4 linked regions of the Danio rerio genome follow. The protein of the gene in region 2 binds, or shares a complex with, the protein of the main gene of each other region. Links are inferred from orthologs where the notes say so. Each region holds a gene or a part of one and is shown on either strand. Other genes may lie near its edges.

Region 1 (5,239 bases), on a different chromosome or scaffold from region 2:
ACGGATTCGGCCAGTTCTTTAATCAACGTGTATGGAGGAGTTATCTGTATAGAATCTGATGGAAAGGGACTTTTGATGCTCTTTGAAATGAGAATGAATTCTTGGTTTTAAGACCTCTAATTCCCTGTTTCTTTTGGATGGGATTATATCCAAATGAAATGCCTGCATCTGTCTTATTTATTGTAAGTTTTTAAATGTATAATTTGTCTGATTTCTTAACCTCTTTTATATATAAAAGTTCTAGAAGGTTTGTATCGCCTTCCTGCTTTAAAGCAATTGGTCAAAAATATATGTAATCGTCTTAATTACAAAAACGAACCATCAAACGGAAAAAAACCCACTAAAAAGATGAATAAAATAAAGTTGCGGTAGGTTGCTTTTAGAGTATTATTTTTTGTAAGGGAGACACAGATTATTTGTATTGTCACGATGTACAGAGGAGACTGGATAGGGGGTTTCAGTCCGCGCCTTTGCGCGTGGACAAAATTACAGCTAAGCTTTAGCTGCACGGGACTTGTACAGCAATGAAGTTCACTGTGTTTAAAAATAAAGAGGTACATTGTCGTATATTGTATTTTATACCACACATTTAGACACAAAAACGAAAAACTGCAATATATAAATAATTATATATGAATGCCGCACCAGCATTGGGTGGCACTGCTTCTGTTTTAGGAATAAAAAGAGTCAACTTCATGTTTTTCCTGTGTTTTTTGGGTGGGGATGTTGGGATGTTTCATGAAGGCATAAAAACACCTAAAAATTTGCTTCAGCTTTCGCATCCACCCCATTGGCTCCTCCTTTTTGCACCAATTTCGAGTGATAATGGACACTTTTAGACAAGAACCAGTTTTCTTTGAGAGTGACAGAAATGTGGTGTAAACGGACTTTGATGAACGATCTGGGTGGCTGTTGGAAATGCAGTGTTTGTGCACAGAGAAAGATCAATTTCCTCTATCTTACTCTGTTCAGAATAAACTGTATGCTGATATTCAAAGACCCTGGGATTTCTCTTACTTCCCACACCAAATCTACATGCTTTCCAAATGCAAAAGTCTGATAAACAGCTTTAGGGTCAAGCACGCCAAGGCCAGACCTCACTGCATTTGTGAGGTATTCACATGAAAATCTATTTAGGGTAGGAGTATATACCAGGGGAAATGTTCATAATCATAATATGCATTATAAATGGCAATATACTCAAGTTTAACACAGATTTCGCAGATAACCACTCTAAAATGATTTGTAGGTTAATTTGCTTAATAACAATCGCATTTAGCTTTATGGACATTTTTATCTAGCCTCATGTTTGATATGGTATTGCTATGAATACATGGTTTAAACTAGATATAATGACATCTATAAAATCACAACACATACTACATTTAGATTATATATAGATTGCATTTAGACTCACTTAAAATATGAATCAAACAATTAAATGAAAATGACTTCTTGAACCTAGAACTTGGGTAACGTAATAGTTGAATAGGATAAAGCGTTCACAGAAACTGACTCCCATTAACGCTTAAATAAGTCTTTACTCTCCGTTATATACATAACGTTATATAAGTAACTTTTTGTGATTTGTATGTTATTTCCATTTTCACTTGACATGTAAATTCTTTACCTTTGCTTCAAACGTGCCACTTATTGGTGTTTTTTCATAATTTGAGGAAGAACACGGCTGTGGTGTTCGGACAATGGTGCTTCTAGGTAGGCGGCACACTAGGATTTGAGACGCAGCCAGAGTTCAGCATGCTCACAGCGGAGCAGATGATCGCTTGTGCTAAAATCATTACTTTTTCTACTTTATAGCTTGCTAAGCACTCTGGCCGACACATGTGGGTTTAATATAGAGTAAGTGGATTGTATTAAGCATATAATTATTTTAAATATATTGCTTCATTTAGTTAAATCGGGATGAATGGATCTCTTAAGCAGGATAGCTTTAGCAGCTAGCATGTTAGCTTACCGGTGAGCTGTCCTATTTCGACCGAAGAAGATCAACTTCCTTTTCAGAGAGAATCACGACAGACCGCGGTCTTACAGGCCTCAGCGGGTTTCTTTTGTAACCAGCGGCGCTGTTGAAGTCTAGGTAAGGATAATTGTGGTTTGTTCATTATATAAAATGCATTATTTGCTTTCAATGATGTTAAATAAAGTCGCAAGCCGAAAAGTTTGTTATATTAAGCATAAGTTTCTGCTTAACGTTAGCTGTGTTGTGAATCTGAGGGCAGTTCCCACAGTTAGCATTAAAAGTGTTTTAAATATTAATTTCAACACATTTAAAGCAATAAATATTAAAATAATAATCAGAAAATAATGTTTTAAAAGCAAAAGAAAATTCAGCGCACTCTTATAAAGCAGTACTGTTTTATTCAAACACTATATTATTCACAACCGACTAACTGTATGCTTAAATGTCATTGCATTACTGTCATACATGTACACAACGTGATTTTTGTCATGTTAAGTCAAAAATGCATTGCGATATTTTTGCCAACTTAATGACAGTTCTTTAGAACTTCATAATTCACCAGAAATACTAAACAGAATGTATTAATGTTCACACAAAAGAATATTAAACAACAATTTGATCAATGTTGTTTTTTTAAACACCAAGTCAGGGTTGTCATCATAAATAAATATTACAAATAAATCCGTTATTTGAAATCATTATATTACTATTACCTCACGCAATTCAGTTTTTAAATTCCTCCTCCCCCTGTAGCAGTTGATGGCTAGTAGACTGGATGTTTATTTAGAGTAAGGGAACCATGTTTTTAAATGATTTATTTCTAAATATGCCAAATGTGAAATGGGGACAAATAAAGTAAACTAACTTATTAATAACTTAATAATTCATCAGAAATCCTAAACAAAATGTATTATTGTTCACACAAAAAAATTAATAAGCAACAATTTTAGCAATGATGATGAATATTTTTTGAACACATCAGCAAGTTTAAAATGGCTGTCATCATGAAAAATATTAAAAATAAAATTGTTATTTTAAATCATGAAAAGTTTTTTTAATATCAAATTAATTTGCATAGATTTTTGATCTTCCTCAAATTAAAATTATCTCGTTTCCCAACACTGAACAAGAAAATTATAGCATTTGCAAGAAAACACTGTTGTCATTTATTATTTTCATTTTATAATGATACCAGTAGCTTATTTTAGTACAAAAAATCAGCAAAAATGCTTACTGTTTCCTTTCCCTGTCCTTTCACTTTGCAGAAGAATGACAGACAGTGCCAGTCTTCAGTTTGTGAGCCCGTATGCATTCGAGGCCATGCAGAAGGTGGATGTAGCCCGACTGGCAGCTTTAAGTGACCCAGAGCTGCGTCTCCTTCTGCCCTGTCTGGTCAGGATGGCTCTCTGTGCCCCTGCAGATCAGAGCAATGCCTGGGCACAGGATAAGAAGCTCATCCTGCGGCTGCTGTCAGGGGTGGAGGCGGTGAACTCCATTGTTGCTCTGCTGTCTGTGGATTTCCATGCTTTGGAGCAGGATGCTAGAAAAGAGCAGCAGCTAAGGTGGGTCTGGATGAAAGAAAGTACTTTCATGTGGTCATTCCGTAGGTTCAGCTCATCCGTACATTAAATGAGAGCTTTGTCTGGCTCAGAGAGGAGGATGTTCTGATTGAGACAATCTTGATTATTTGATGATTTAAGCATGTTTTCTTTTACACAGGCATAAGGCTGGAGGATCTAATGGCGAGAGCATTCTGGTGTCTCAGCTTCAGCATGGTTTGACTCTGGAGTTTGAGCACAGTGATCCTCTCAGGAGACTCAGACTGGCTCTAAGTGAGCTGCTGGCCATTATGAACAAGGTTCAGTGTCCTTTTATTTACTACTGCATAGGGATGCTCATTCGGGTAATTTTCCCAACCGGCGCTCATTAATCGGATATTAATCGTTAACTGGGCAGATTAGGATGAACTTATTATTTAAATACAAAAATGAATTGAGGTGTCTATTTTGGATCTGACACATTAAATATTGCATTTTGAAAAGCTGATTTATTTTAACGTGCAAACAACAGCATACAGAACATATTAACAACAGAACATCTTCAAGCAGTAGTGTTTTTAACAGCATAGAAAAAAGAATTACTGAATAAAAAAGAATAAAATAAATAGGCCTGCCCTAGATTTAACAACTCGTATGTCAAACTGTGACCATCAATATCCTTCATTCATATTCTCCTTTCATTTAGTTTTTTTGACAAAATAGGCTATGTCTGTAATTGCCACCCCGTGAGTTAACAAATATGTGTTGTACATTTATGCAGCTTAAAAAACTTACAGTATAAAAAATACAGTATAAAAAAAAAATATATATATATATATATATATATATATATATATATATATATATATATATATATATATATATATATATATATATATATATATATATATATATATTATTTTTTTGCATCCTTTTGGTTAATCTGCTTATCCAAGCATCCCTATTTTTGCGTAATGATCTTAACTTATTAAAATACATTTTAATAAGTCTTTTGCATTTTAAAATGGCTGCATTTTTAGTGTTAAAATATTTGTTTTTATACTAAAGATTGTATTCTTTATTTTAAAAATATTATGATACAATAAACTGACATAAAAATTTAAATTTGAAAAGTTTAGTGCAAATACACGCTATATTTCATTCTCTAAAAGAAAAAAAATTGTACTAAAAACAATATTAAGCACCAATTCCAAATGTGATGTTTGCATTACAGGATTGAATAGCTTTTTATAGTCATATTAAAATAAAGAGTTGCTATTTTAAATAATCTAAAGTTTTATTGCAGTATTTTGTGTTTGTCACAATATTTTTGTTTTGTAAATTTTTTGATCAAACAAATGTAGTCATGTTGTAATTGTAAAATAATTTTTCTTAGAGTTTTTTATTGTGTGCGTGTGTGTGTGTGTGTGTGTGTGTGTGTGTGTGTGTGTGTGTGTGTGTGTGTGTGTGTGTGTGTGTGTGTGTGTGTGTGTGTGTGTGTGTGTGTGTGTGTGTGTGTGTGTGTGTGTGTGTGTGTGTGTGTGTGTGTGTGTGTGTGTGTGTGTGTGTGTGTGTGTGTGTGTGTGTGTGTGTGTGTGTGTGTGTTATGTTCCTGTGTTGAACAGGTGGCTGACTCTAATGGAGAGTTTTTCCTCAAGTCCTCTGAGTTGTTTGAGAGTCCAGTGTACCTCGAGGAAGTGGCTGATGTTCTCTGCATCCT
Region 2 (4,721 bases):
AAATGTATATGCCTCACAGACATAATAATATATTTATAGAAAGCTTTAAATTATTACTTAACGAAATAAAACAAATCGAAAACAAAAAAACTCCTTCATGTAATCCGTAAAGATGAATTTCTAAAGGCGAGTCCAAGAGGAGATTGCCAGTCAGGATCTTTGCGACACTGACTCAGAATAAGTTTATTAATAAATAATTAAGATATGTACTCTTTCCTCGACACATTCATTGTTATTTGTTTTTGCCGGTGCTTGGGGCGAGTTTTAGCTTATTGTGTGCGCTTGAACGCGGATTCACAGTAGCAGTTTTAACATGGAGTGACACCACATCTGACGTACAGATGACACTGGCACATGCCACTGAGTGTAGTGACACTTCCGGTGGCACGCAGTGGCGTAGCGGACGGGCCCGCAGGGCACGCACCGCGGGGGGGCCCCGCGTGATTAGGGGGCCCCGCGTCGTCGTGATTTTCAATAATTAAAAATCCACCGGCGAACGCAATAATCAAACTCTTGGGAACAACTGTGGTCGGAACCAAAGTTCACAGGTCTGTGTTCTCTGAACACCTCTCAAGCGGTGGACTACTTCATTCTGATTGCTTGCCGCCAATGTTGCCAACTTAGCGACTTTGTCACTAGATTTAGCGACTTTTCAGACCCCCTTAGCGACAAATCTAGCGACTTTTTTTTGTGTTATTGGAGATTTTTTTAGACTGTCATTTGTCCATACTGTACCGTCCCTACTCTTCTCAACGAGCTGCGTGTGATGCCGCCGGCCCCTCCCTCGCCTCACAGCACTGACAGGCGGCCCAGTCAGTCCTCATACAGCAGCCTCTCCCACCTGCAGCCCGAGAGCAGATCACCCCTCTGCGTACCGACGACAAATGATTTAGCACAGGCAGTGTGAAGGTATTTCCCTTGTACAGTCAAACCGATGTACTGCTACTTTATTTTAACAATTTAATTGGACCGTTTATTCTTTTCTTGTTCACAATCACAGATATTTTAGTGACAGTTTCTGAACTTGTCTGAGTTTATTACATATGAGAGATTACTGCACATTCACTACATATCTATAATGACATACTGTATTCAAACAGCAATACATTTAGTTAAATAAACATGCTTATATAAAGTGTAGTGCAATTATAAATACCCCTTTATTAACCATAGGCTGTTAAACAAACAGAAACGGTAGAACGTGATGACGCCAGTGATATGCAAATTGACGTGTGACGTATCCCCCCCCCCCTTCATCAGGGGGCCCCGTCAGCGATCCCTGCAGGGGGGCCTCTGCATTTTGCGCTACGCCACTGGTGGCACGTCCGGGTTTCCACTGTCATGTGTCACTCGCTAGTGGCATGTGTAGTGACCTGTGTCACTCAGAGTGTCGCGCTGCATGTCACTGCAGTGACATCGACACCCGGCGAAGCTTATGACATTAATTAACACGAGCAAAACCATATTTAATCATTACGCGACTTTTAACCTAATTTATTGCGTCGCAAGTTAGTTTATTTGCTGAGCTACTCCACGATGTTTTAATTTAAACGCATTTATTTTATGTATTCGTAGTCGTACTTCCGTACATAATATAGTCATTTGACAGTACATGTCAGTCAAATTTATTGTGGCATGCTTATGTATGGGAGGGGTTACACTTATCTGTTGTACTGTTTATTGCACCCTGGCAGTTCCTTTGTTCCCTACAATATGGACTTTTCTATGTTTTTAATTCATTCATTTATTTTATTATTTAACTTATTTTCATTTTAAGGTATTTTAAATAATATCCTTTAAAAAGTTATAATAAAATGCATGTTGAAAACTCATAACATATATGCATGTAAGATAACAGGTGTCATTTGCCTAATGATTTTTAAATATTAAAGCAAAGAGACTTATAAGATTAATGTGCTTATAACGTGCTTATACTGACACCTACTGGCACATGTCACAAGATCACTGACACTGGCATGTGTCACTGACATTACTGGCATGTGTCTAAAAAGAGCCACTTGACAATAATGATGATCAGGGTTACACATAGGCTGTTAATATATTTGGGCCCAGGGGCCCACAAGTTATGTGTTAAAAGTGCGTTGCATACATAGTACCCCCACCCCTACTCACCTCAGGGGCAAGGAAAAAAAGTTCAGGCTCAGGAATTTTTTCCGCTATCAGCCCTGTCACTGACTGATAAGGGCTTTAGTGTCGCGCGCACAGTTTTGCTCCAACCCTAATCAAACAGAGCTGATCCAACTAATTAAGGTGTTCAAGACCACTAGAGACTGTTAGACTATTGTTTTGGTGTGGCCAGAGAAAAAATAGGTAAATCTTGCTGTTTAGCCCTGAAAAGCCTTGTGAAACAAGACCTAATTGCAATGCGACACTAATCTGAATGCGACTGAAACCATAACCCATATGCTCATGCTCATTGAGCAAGGTCAAACACAACACACAAAAAGTGAAATGAATGAGGACTTATGTGGACATTACACAAAATGTAAAGTACGTAACTTTGGCATGCCAAAATCAAATGTATGCATATAATTATACATTTTCCTTATAGCAAAATTGTGGCTAGTAAAAGTGGTAAGTGGCTAGTAATGTTGAAAAACTACTAGCCACAGTGGCTGGTGATCAAAAAAGTTAATGTCAAGCCCTTATATATATATATATATATGAGCAATATCACACGAGTAGCAGTGCGATATGGCTGTACATCGGCACTCATGGGAGGCGTTCGATGGCACAAGGCCACAGGCCGAGTCGTGTGATATTGCGTTTATACAACAGTTTGACGGCATAATTGTATATATAAAAACAAAATCAAACACGAATAGTTTCAAAAACCCTTTTGTATGTGGAACTACTTTCTTCCACATTGGATTCATATCATAAGCTGACAGTTAAACAGTTGAGCAAGCATCTTTGAAGCTTTAGATCTGTAGTGTCTGCTTTTTGCTGGCTGTATGTGGGCGGAGTAATACACAAAGGGTAAAGAGGCTGTAGGAGTTCTGATATTGCAGAATATCGCACAGTTATCAGCCAATTAGATTTGAGAACCAGACAGAATTGTTGTATAAATACCCATCTCTCTATTTCCCATGTCTGTCTATATACATTATTTATATGATGTCTTTATATAGACAGATACTTAATGCTCATTACTTACATAGGCAAAGGGTATGTAATTAATTTCTTTTGCCCATATTGGACCCACATGGGGTTTTCCATTTGAAATGTAACATTTTTTTTATTTTTTAGGCTGTAAAGTGTGATGTAATATTATGACTTTTGTATTATGGCTTTATGATTATGGCTTTTCAAGGTCTTGTGTAATCGCAGATCCTCTTAATTGAAGGTTTGTCCTTTATTCAGGCTTCTTCTCAGTCTATGCCGTGGCTGGCTGATCTTGTCCAGTCCAGCGAAGGCTCCTTAGATGTGCTGCCCGTTCAGTGCCTGTGTGAATTTCTCCTCCATGATGCAGCAGATGATGCCTCTTCTGCTGATGATGAAGAGGAAGGAGAAAGCAAAGAACAGAGAGCAAAGAAAAGACAGGTAAAAATGATTACGGCATTGGTTATTGTTTGAATGTTTTTGTTTTTTGTTATCATCTTGCAATATCAATGGTGGTGTCTTAAACCAATGTTTAATTTTACATGACCCATAGTAGTTTACAGTATGGTGTAATAGAGTGGTTCAAACAATTATGCTATATTAAAAGAAAATAATCCAACTAATTACTCAATAGTTTAATACAACTATATACTCTTTTTTTTAAAGGAATACTGTTATTTAACAAAGGCATATTACATTGATCTAAATAAAGGAATTTATAACATTTACAAATGAATTATTTCAATTAAATCTTGTACTTTTACTGTATCTCTAATCTGCCCAACTGCTTTAAATAATAATAATTATGGAAAATATTTCCTGAACATCAAATATGTACATTTGATTGACATCTGAAGGATCACGTGACATTTAGGTCTTAAGTATTGACTACTGAAAGTTGAAAGCACACAAATATGCTGCATAGTTTTGAAAACATGTATTTTGTAAAAACAAAAATTAATAATTTTCTTGCTTTTTTGTTTGTGTTAGCGGCAGCAAAAACAGAGGCAGCTTCTTGGGCGGCTGCAGGACCTTCTGCTGGGGTCTAAGGCTGATAAACAGACCACATGTGAGGTCTTGGACTACTTTCTCCGGCGTCTAAGCTCTTCTCAAGTGGCTTCAAGAGTGTTGGCCATAAAGGTACAGAGTTCATTTTCCATCTAACTAAGCATGGTTCTTTACACACTTGTGTGATATGGTGAATTATGATGTGCATATCAGGGATTGTCCCTGGTGCTGACGGAGGGCGGATTGAAAGATGGAGAGGACAGGGATCATCTCATGGAGGAGGACTCCAGAGATGCAGAGTTACTGCCAAGCTACCAGTGGCTCCTTCAGGACCTTCCTAAACTGCCTCTGTTTGACAGCGTGAGAGGCTTAACGGCCAGTGCTTTGCAGCAGGTTAGTCCACCTACACAAATCCTACACAAATATAAGTTTATCAGTACCTGTGACTTGCTGAACTTAAAGTGTGTGCATGGTTTTCCTTTTTTTCCAGGCCATTCACGTGGAGACGGATCCTCAAACCATCAGTGCATACCTGATTTACCTTTCCCAGCATGCACCAATAGAAGAGCAGTCCCTCCACAATGACCTAG
Region 3 (4,155 bases), on a different chromosome or scaffold from region 2:
ACTTCTATTTTGCAAATAAATAATTAAACATTAAAAGAACCAAAGCAATAAAAAAAGGTCACCCAAAAATTGAAATTCTGTTATGATTGTTGCAACCCACTGAGACCTGTTCGTTTTGGACCACAAATAAATATATTTTATGAAATTCAAGAGCAAGTCCAGAAAAGAAATAATAAATAATTTGCAAAAATATTTGCAAAACTATCCCAGGGTTTCTGCAGGTTTCACAAAGTAAATTTAAAGATTTTTTAAGACCATAATGAATGAAGTTACAGACTCATACATGAGTTTTTTTCTAATAGCCCAGTTGGTCCAGCGCTAAAAACTAGGTCATTGTCCTCACCATATGGGCTATAAATACACAGAGATCCTTTAAACAAACATTACTGTAGGGATGAAAATTAAACCATACTGGCAAATAGAGTTATATTAAGTTTTGTTAAAAGTGATTAGTTAGCTTTACATGGACATAGGAAAATTAAGACATGGTCAAAATTGAGACCTAAATTCCAGGTGACTATAGCGGTAAAACAGTAATCATACGAAACTCCAAATATATTTCTTTTCTCCCAAAAAAAAAAAAAAAAAGAAAAGAAAAAAAATGGCTGTTTGTCTATTTCTTTGACATCAGGTCAGGGTGTGTGCTAACTACGAGCATTACGATGCTGTGTGTTGCGCCTCTGACTCTAACAGCAACACGTCGTCCTACCCTACCCTTAGCAAACATGCATTCTGACAAGAAGAGAAACTTTTTTTAAATTTACATATTTCATTAGCTAGTTTTATTAAAATAAAGCTGTATTTAAGTTGGATGTTTAAAGCCTAATTTAATCTCTGACCTGTATTCAAAAAAAAAAAAAAAACAAGAATTTCTTTTTTAAAAAAGGTGTTATTTATTCAACACATCATTAAAAGGAGCAGCTTGTTTTCAGTAATGTGGCTGGTTTAGAAAGAAAGAGACACATTTCCAAACCAAAGCGCTTCAGAACGACCAGTAACATTTAAATTCAAGTATGCGATCTGAAAACAGGATTTGACGTGCTCTTTATCGTGACATTCTGCCTACTTCCTCCTCATTTCTTCAGTTTTTTCTGTGCCGCTTTCTTCTTCACCATCTGCAGGCGTTTCATAGCATTGAGCTGAGACTCTTGGGAAGTGGGTGCCTTGCCATCAGCTGAGGCTTTTGCTCCGTTGTTGTTGTTGTTGCCACTGCTGCTGCTACTCCCAGCACTATTGCCACCGTTGCCCGCTCCATTGCCTCCTGACCCACCATTGCCACCCAGGCTGCTAGAAGGTGCAGCTCCAGGTGACAATGATCCCGTCACAGTCATTTTCCCCAAACTATCTCCACTCGCTGAGCGGCTCAACACCTGTTTACCTAGAGTAAGCGGAGGAGGTGCTTTTAAGGGTACTGTACCAGAGCCATTGTTTCCATTGCCACTTCCGGCACTGCTTCCTCCTGAAGGTTTAGTGGCCAGAGCTGGTTTAACATTGGCCAGAGCAGAGAGACCCACAGGTTTGGAGCCTGAGGCAGCTGGGGATGTTTTACTGTTACCTGATTGACTGGTGCTTAACTTGGTGCTGGAAGGTCCTACATTTGAGGTTGCCTTGGTGAAGGCGGCCCATCCTGTAAGACCCGGAGGCAAAGACGAGCTGCTGCTACTGCTGCTGGATGAGTTTCCTGATGCTGCAGTTGCCTGCACAGGGAAAAAAAGATTTTTAAATAAATAATAGAGATGTATTATAAGAAAAAAAGCAGCTTTTTAACATCAAGGGTTTGCACTCTGCAACTCTTATTAAATTGTGTACTTAAAGTCTTACAATGCACTCATGTCATGACACAAGTCATGCTAAAATACTACAATGATCTTTATCAGACATATGATCATAAGACAAATGATGAAAAGTGAACTAAAATCTACTGTTGATTTAAAATGTACATTTGTGGATTCAAAAAGTGTGGGAACTGTATGAAATGGAACAAATAACATAAGAACAGACTACAGTAGTCAACATTCAAAGTGAATTAAAAACGTTTTTCAAAATCGTCCTAGGACAGGAATGGGTGTTGTTCAATAGTTTTGAGACAACTTTGGTAAAAGGTGATGATCCACTTCAAATGTTGACTACTGTATATGCACAACTAGTGTTTTTCAGCCAATGATGAACTTCTAGTGGGAGCTTTATTTTTACTGTTTTTAATTTCATAAGGTTCCTTTTACAGTTTCAATGTTGTAATTTAATTCAAATATAATCAGTTAAATTGACTTCAGCATTCATTTGGTTGCTAAAGCGTAAAAAGAGACAAAAGAAAGTAATTAGCAGCAAGCTAGCACAGACACTCCATTGAAAATACAACCAGGGATTGAAGATCGCTGTTTTATTTTTTAAAGAAATCAGATCTTAAAGTGAATTTGTATGGGATGATAATAAGATATATGTTCATGTACTTTTAATTTCAGTCAGCCAGCACCAGGGCTTCCGATTAATTGTCATCCCATACAAAATCATAGCATTTAAGATCTGATTTCTTTAAATAAAAACAAAACAGCAAACCTCACCACCTGATTGAGATATGATATAAAGTGGGTGTCAGCCCAAGCAAGAAGCACTGCATTACATTTTTTTTCCCGTGCCATGTCTTTAAAACATGGAAATGTATTTTACCCCAGTATTCTTAATGGAGTGTCTGTGCTAGCTTGCTGCAAATGGCTCGTTTCCACTGACTGGTACAGTACGGTACGGTTCGGGTCAGTACGGGTCACCTTTATCAGGCTTGCGTTTTACTACCAAGGGTACCCTTTTGGTGGGCGTGGTGTATGACAAAGTTTCAGTCGACGTCATTTTCGCTCAAGAAAATGTCTACAATAAAGCTGCACAGGTCGTTCACATATCATTAAACAGATGCTTCTCATAAAACAGATGCTTTACACACAAAAATACTTGTGTATAAATGTTTATTACTAACTTTTCTATAAACAGGAGTTGATTATAACTGCAGATCAATGACAGTGCGAAATAGCCTACTATAACGTCTGTAATTATATTAAATAAATAAATAAATGAACATATATGAACACATACAGCCTCTTACAGTCTCCGATATGTTACCAACTACAGAAGAACTACACAAAGCAGACATTTCGTCGTTAGTTAGGTTCATAACAACACAAAGTATAGCCTAGTCAGTGAAAACCTCTCATCTGTGTCTGTAATCTTCAGCAGCACATGTAGCCTCTGTTAGAGAGTCATTCCATCATTCCCAGTTCATATTAGTCCAAAATGTAATAATAAAGATTTAAAACTAGGCAGTTTGTTCACGTTTGCTGAAGAAATAACGTGCTCCTTGGCTTCGCCGTTTTTTCCGCGCTCCACTCCCGCGTTTGTCCTTTTCTTTCTGAATGTGTCACTCTCGCGTTTGTCAGCTTCTCACAGGATCGGGTTTCCAAAGCTTGTCAATAATCAAGCGCATGTTATTATTATCAGCTAAAGAAGTTAGTTATTTCAGATAACGCGCGTCGAGCGCAAGGAAAAAAAGTGAAACCACTCAGGCTTCAGACTGGCTCGTAAAAAAACTACGCGGCACAGGGTAAATCTGCTCTTCTCCATGGCTTTGTGGCTGTTTAACAAGACGGCGACAGGGTTTGTTTGAGCCCGGATCGACTATGGCTGCATATGTAGATATAATTTTGTGTAATCTCTCGCTGTGTATTTTAAACATGGCAGGTCCTTTGTTTACATTCTGGCTTGTTGAGTCTACAAATGACGTATCTCTATTAACCAATAGCATTCAGCTGCGCATGTAGCTCCACCTTTTGGGACCCTTTCTGCAGTTTGTGACCCTTTCGAAAGGGTGCCGAAAAAGTGGTACGGTACGGTTTGGTTCGGTATGCCTTTTGACAGTGGAAATGGCCATAAAAGCGTACCAAAACGAACCGTACCGTACCACTCAGTGGAAACGGGCCATAACAGTGCCTGGGGTTTAAATGGTCTTTCGCCTGTTTTTACGCTTTTATAAAAATAAGTTTTAAAAAAATGTAAATTTGTGTAGACTTGGTGTTTTAGACATGAATAGACTTGAACTTGTTTCGGTTTGCCATTGCACAGGGCTAAAGCGACACCAAAATACTTTTTTGTTCAAACCTTAATATTGTT
Region 4 (5,201 bases), on a different chromosome or scaffold from region 2:
CGTTGGCTACAGCAAGACAGTTTTGTTGTCCATGAGCTAAACATAGAAAACAAACCAGCACAAACATAATGTCTTTGCACAATTCTGTACTACTGACTTCGAACTCATTGTGAATGCAGAAATAAATGTTTACCGGAGGAAAATGTGCATCCGAATGGCGGCACGGCAGCAGCGGAGGCTCCATAAGAGATGTGTTCATCCCGCCGAGCGCATTCATAGCCGTCCAGCAGAGACGACAGAGGAAACAGCCGCTGCTCACCTGATTATTACAAAGTATTTCAGTGTAAATAGTGTAATAACGCTGGTTTAGGTTAACGTATATTCAGCAAACTCACCATTTCGTCCTCTTTTTTTAGCCCCTCGATCAACAACATGGTGAAAAAGAGTCATCGCTGCAGGATGCAAGTCGCGTTCAGAAGTGGTAAGTTTCCCGCGAACAATGAAAAAGCGCTGAAGACGAATTCCCCGCGAGATGGACGAACAGTGTTCTAATTGGTCGACACGTCAGGAAACAGGAAGTGTTAAGCCACTGCGAGCGGAGTGGAATGGCTGCGAACACTAGAGGCGCCATGTGGCCCCAAAAAAATCCGGGTTAACATTAACATTAACAATATATATATATATATATATATATATATATATATATATATATATATATATATATATATATATATATATATATATATATATATATATATATATATATATATATTCATTATTTCATTTATTTCCTTTTTGGCTTAGTACCTTTATTGTTTTGGAGTTGCCACTGCGGAATATGGTTTTACGCAGCGGATGCCCTTCCAGCTGCAACCCATAAGTGGTAAACATCCATACACACTCATTCACACACACACACAAACACACACACACACACACACACACACACACACACACACACACACACACACACACACACACACACACACACAAAATTTAGCCTACCCAGTTCACCTACAGCATATATTTTTTTAACCCACGCAAACACTGGAAGAACATGTAAACGCCACAGAAACACAAAAACTTAATCTTATTAAGAATAAAAAACCCTAAAATTCCTGAAATATTATACAGATGTAGGAGATGCTTAAGTTTAGTTGCTTTCCTTTTGGTTATTTGTTTAAGTGTCATTGTAATTTCATTCATTTGTTTAATTTAGTTTGTTTAATTTAGTAATTTTGTTATTATCATAATTTTATTATTATTAATATTATAATTATTAATATTTTCCCTTTCAGTCTAATGATATGTTATTTGTATGTGTTTGTGATAATTTTTATGACTGTGTATACTATTGATCATTTTAAAGTGATCTCTGGGATCCTTTGGATTTTGTTCTGATAGCAAGCAATAATATATATATATATATATATATATATATATATATATATATATATATATATATATATATATATATATATATATATATATATATATATATATATATATATATATATATATATATATATATATATATATATATATATATATATATATATATATATATAATTTTGCAAATGATTAAATAAAAATTATGATAGCATGAAGAGCCTAAAAGCTGAGCAGAGGTTTAGACTAATCAGGGTAAATGCCGACTCATAAGCCCCGCCTTCTTTGGTCACCTCTTTGGGTCGCTTTCGCTTCTAGCGTTCCTTGTAGCGCAACGGAAACCCGACGACGAAACTGGCGTTGTGCGTCACGTGACCTGCTTTACAACCGGGTCACACTTCAAACTTAATGCACAAAATCTCCATCTGATAAAACAAATAAAGTGTTAAATCCGAGAGCAGTCTATCGGGTTACATTTTTTGCAGTCTAATAATAAACAATGTCGCTTTCAGCAGCGCGTTCGTTTCTTTCGGAGGCGGCATACGGCGAGCAGGAGCTGGACGCCAATTCAGCGCTGATGGAGCTCGATAAAGGTGGCTCTTTATAAACAACACACGTGTATTTGTTTTTTGATGCAGTGTGTGTGTGTGCTATTTTAATGTTGAATATCATACATTGTATCTGTTCGCATGAAAAAGCTCTTCTATAATTTTATTATGTAGGCTACTACTGTACTTTAGTCTATACTGTGCTTTGTTTTCATTTTTACAGAATGTTTTAGGGATGTAACATATGTTATGGAAAGATCCAGAATTTACGCAACCGTCAAGTAGTTTGACTTTTATGAGTTTCTTCTTCTTTGCACACGCCACACGGGTGATAAAATGCTTTAATTTTAAACTACTAAGGTCTAAAAAGTGCTTAGATTATGGATGAAGTGCTTGGAAAGTAATTGCATTGCTTTCATAATCATTGATCTTACTGAACGTACAACATTGTTTACAGTCAAAAAATTGTGCTTATGTTGTTTTGAAGTCACACTTACATGTGATTTTATACTGAATATTCAAAGTACCATGGTAAACGCTATAGGGAGCGTGTCACAAGTTGTCAATGAACAAATGTACGAATATAAAACCAACTTTACCTGTCTTATTAAACGGGTAATAACAGTGAAAATTACTGTTTAAATAAAAGTATAATAACTCTCATTGCTTGTGCATAAAATGAAAATCTGGGGTCTGTACATAAGCCTGTAGCATGATCTGCCTTCTATCTTATTTTGTCTGCACTCCTTGAGTATAAGATGAAATTAGATACATCTAAGATTTAAGTAAATGACATTCATATAAAAAAAAATCTTATGAATAGAATCTGATAAAATGTAATAAAGCATGTGTGTGTATGTAAATGTGTAATATGCCACACATTTACATACACATGCATTCAAAAAATGTGCATCTGAAAAGTGCTTAAATTATATAAAAAAGCATGCTGCAAACACAAAAGAAGATACTTTGAACAATGTTCAAAATCAGTAACCTTTGACTTCCACAGTAGGACAACAAATGTAGGTCAATAGTTACAGGTTTACAGCTTTTTTCAAAATATTCAATTCAATTCAATTCAGCTTTATTTGTATAGCGCTTTTACAATGTACATTGTGTCAAAGCAGCTTCACATAAATGGTCATAGTAACTGGAACAGTGTGGTTCAGGTTTTAAAATATCTTCTTTAGTGTTCGACAGAGTAATAAAACTGAAATGGGTTTAGAAAACAAACAAAGGATGTGACACTAAAAAAGCAATACAGTTGAAGTCAGCATTAATAGCCCCCATTTGAATTGTTATTTTTTTTTTTCCAGAATAGTGTTTAACAGAGCAAGAAAACTTTCACAGTATGTCTGATAATATATTTTTTTCTTTTTGAGAAAGTCTTATTTGTTTTATTTCAGTAAGAATAAAAGCAGTTTTTATATTTTTAAGAAACATTTTAAGGTAAAAATTACTAGGCCCTTTAAGCTATATATTTTTCCGATAGTCTACAAAACAAACCATCGTTATAGAGTAACTTGACAAATGTATGCTGTTTGTTCATTTATTTAAAATTAACAGAAACAACACAATTGTTAAGTTTTATTTTGGGAACACTTAGTTGTTTTAGATTCAATCAACTAAAATTTGTAAAATCTAATAATATAACTTAATCCATTCATGCTATTGTGGAACCCAACATTTTTACAGAGTATGAATAAAAAACATACATATTTGAGCGTGAATCATTCCTTTTACTCACACACTTCTGATTTTGTCTTTGCTCCAGGTTTACGGTCTTGTAAACTGGGCGAGCAGTGTGAAGCCGTGGTCCTTTTTCCCAAACTCTTCCAGAAATACCCGTTCCCCATCCTCATCAACTCTGCCTTCCTGAAGCTGGCAGATATCTTCAGACTTGGGTAATTGCACATATAAATACATACGAATTATGTCATGTTTAATAGTTTAGATATGGTAACAAAATTGTCAATAGCTGCTTTTCCACTATCGTGCTGAATCGTTCTTTAAGCAGAACCGTTCCATTCCGTGCCAAACCAGGCCAGACAGGACGGATACGGTTTCATTTTCCACTGTCCTGCTGCGACAAAGCTCTTTAAAAACATTACACAAACCGCATCAGTAGTTGCCTTGGTTAACGCAATGTAAACAGCTCCCTTTGTTCAATTAAATTTAAATAATAGCCGAAACTAGTTTTTTTCATGTTCATAAAAGTGAAAGCAACCATGTGACTAGCACTGTTATGCCGCTCTATTAAATAGGGTTGCTAAATATAGGTAGGCTACATACGTCAGCACCCTTATTTATTTAGAGGTATGTTGTGCGGATCTGGCTAAATTTTATTTAGGGGGAAAATTACCAAAATATATCGTGATTAGGGATGTAACGATTTATCGTTGTACGATTTATTGCAATGCAAAAATGTCTCTATGCATCGTGGTGTTATGACGATTTGATTACGATATGACGTCCGTTTTCTCTTATTAGTTGAGCTGTTTGCACGTGAGCTACGTTCCACCTGCTGTCGCACGTGAGTTCAGATTGCAGCAGCAGTAATGTTAGCAGACCAAGATGAGTGGAGCTGATATAGAGGATGGCCCATCCTCTCAAAATCAGACGTCTGGCAACATTTCGGTTGTACAGTCATTGCTTTAGACTCGTCCGCTTTTTGACACGCATACTGGGTCAAACATCCTAAGTTTTAAAGTCTTCACAGTGATTTACATACTTTGCACAGCGACATGGATACCTCCTAATGGTGTTGAAAGAGTCACATACTGTATTTATAAGGTACAATTCACCCTAAAATATCATTCTGTCTTCATATAATGATGTATTGGCGGCCGCAAAATCACACATGACGTGAGCTGTTACTACAGAGGGCGGACTATGATAGACGCGCGCGTATGGCAAGCCGTTTTAGCATTTAAACCTTTGATCTGACTATTCATAAATATATTTAGAGATATCTCTAATTATATTTTGACTAGTCATAATTATAATTCGACTAGTCAAAATATAATTAGAGATATCTCTAAATGAATTTAATTAAATATGAATTAAATATATTTATGGATAGTCAGAACAAAGGTTTAAATGTTAAAACGGCTTGCCATACGCGCGCGTCTGCTTCAGTGAACAGAACCTGCAGGTTGTGACTAATAAAGTAGTAAACAACATTCAGTTTGTGGAACAGAGTGATCGTTCAGGAGCCGCGTGTGTGAACAGCACTTAGCAGTGGAAATGAAACCGAAAACGTACACATTATTTAAACAATCATATCGCATTTTAGAGTTATGATTACGACGAGCATTAACCCTT

The links.
Region 1: the proteins of ints1 (region 2) and ints2 are in contact, whole or in part, in a cryo-EM structure (PDB 8RC4), measured with the Homo sapiens proteins. The link is inferred for Danio rerio from reciprocal best matches to the Homo sapiens genes INTS1 and INTS2. Residues at the interface, in NP_001073922.2 of Homo sapiens: Gly561, Ile562, Ala563, Trp564, Asp565, Lys566, Gly567, Ser982, His1055, Met1056, Thr1058, Pro1060, Glu1095, Arg1096, Thr1098, Ile1099, His1102, Leu1107, Arg1225, Ser1250, Phe1251, Gly1252, Ile1253, Tyr1285, His1288, Glu1291, Val1292, Gln1293, Glu1295, Arg1296; in NP_065799.2 of Homo sapiens: Pro40, Leu54, Lys69, Leu72, Arg73, Leu75, Ser76, Gly77, Val78, Glu79, Val81, Asn82, Val85, Gly125, Thr127, Leu128, Glu131, His132, Glu166, Val172, Tyr173, Glu176, Arg322, Gln325, Gln326, Arg329, Gly400, Lys402, Thr769, Met772.
Region 3: ints1 (region 2) and ints12 share a complex: the UniProt entries of both Homo sapiens proteins name them as parts of the integrator complex. The link is inferred for Danio rerio from reciprocal best matches to the Homo sapiens genes INTS1 and INTS12.
Region 4: the proteins of ints1 (region 2) and ints7 are in contact, whole or in part, in a cryo-EM structure (PDB 8RC4), measured with the Homo sapiens proteins. The link is inferred for Danio rerio from reciprocal best matches to the Homo sapiens genes INTS1 and INTS7. Residues at the interface, in NP_001073922.2 of Homo sapiens: Leu1378, Gln1381, Gln1382, Gly1385, Gln1386, Ala1389, His1429, Phe1430, Leu1431, Cys1433, Pro1434, Arg1437, Gln1438, Cys1440, Gln1441, Pro1476, Ala1479, Gln1480, Met1483, Leu1484, Gln1487, Arg1552, Pro1554, His1555, Leu1556, Glu1557, Glu1558, Pro1613, Ser1614, Gly1616; in NP_056249.1 of Homo sapiens: His150, Asp151, Leu187, Ala188, Thr189, Pro190, Val191, Lys194, Thr223, Ser224, Tyr225, Pro226, Ser227, Thr228, Asn262, Asp263, Pro264, Arg265, Lys266, Pro303, Tyr304, Gln349, Glu350, Cys352, Tyr353, His354, Asn355, Arg357, Ala360, Gln384.

What each region holds. Positions count from the first base shown.
Region 1 is NC_133185.1:32,946,052-32,951,290, reverse strand, and holds the start of ints2 (integrator complex subunit 2), read left to right. Parts: upstream 1-1,720; 5' UTR 1,721-2,098; intron 2,099-3,246; 5' UTR 3,247-3,250; coding exon 3,251-3,543; intron 3,544-3,700; coding exon 3,701-3,839; intron 3,840-5,144; coding exon 5,145-5,239. UniProt on the Homo sapiens protein: Component of the integrator complex, a multiprotein complex that terminates RNA polymerase II (Pol II) transcription in the promoter-proximal region of genes.
Region 2 is NC_133178.1:42,059,482-42,064,202, forward strand, and holds part of ints1 (integrator complex subunit 1), read left to right. Parts: intron 1-3,384; coding exon 3,385-3,564; intron 3,565-4,113; coding exon 4,114-4,263; intron 4,264-4,344; coding exon 4,345-4,524; intron 4,525-4,621; coding exon 4,622-4,721. UniProt on the Homo sapiens protein: Component of the integrator complex, a multiprotein complex that terminates RNA polymerase II (Pol II) transcription in the promoter-proximal region of genes.
Region 3 is NC_133176.1:28,085,072-28,089,226, forward strand, and holds the end of ints12 (integrator complex subunit 12), read right to left. Parts: intron 1,698-4,155; coding exon 1,556-1,697; coding exon of another isoform or gene 1,379-1,555; coding exon 1,074-1,378; 3' UTR 870-1,073; downstream 1-869. UniProt on the Homo sapiens protein: Component of the integrator complex, a multiprotein complex that terminates RNA polymerase II (Pol II) transcription in the promoter-proximal region of genes.
Region 4 is NC_133195.1:14,373,157-14,378,357, reverse strand, and holds the start of ints7 (integrator complex subunit 7), read left to right. Parts: upstream 1-1,730; 5' UTR 1,731-1,828; coding exon 1,829-1,922; intron 1,923-3,651; coding exon 3,652-3,781; intron 3,782-5,201. Other genes in the region: dtl (denticleless protein homolog), read right to left, coding at 1-36, 134-259, 336-390. UniProt on the Homo sapiens protein: Component of the integrator complex, a multiprotein complex that terminates RNA polymerase II (Pol II) transcription in the promoter-proximal region of genes.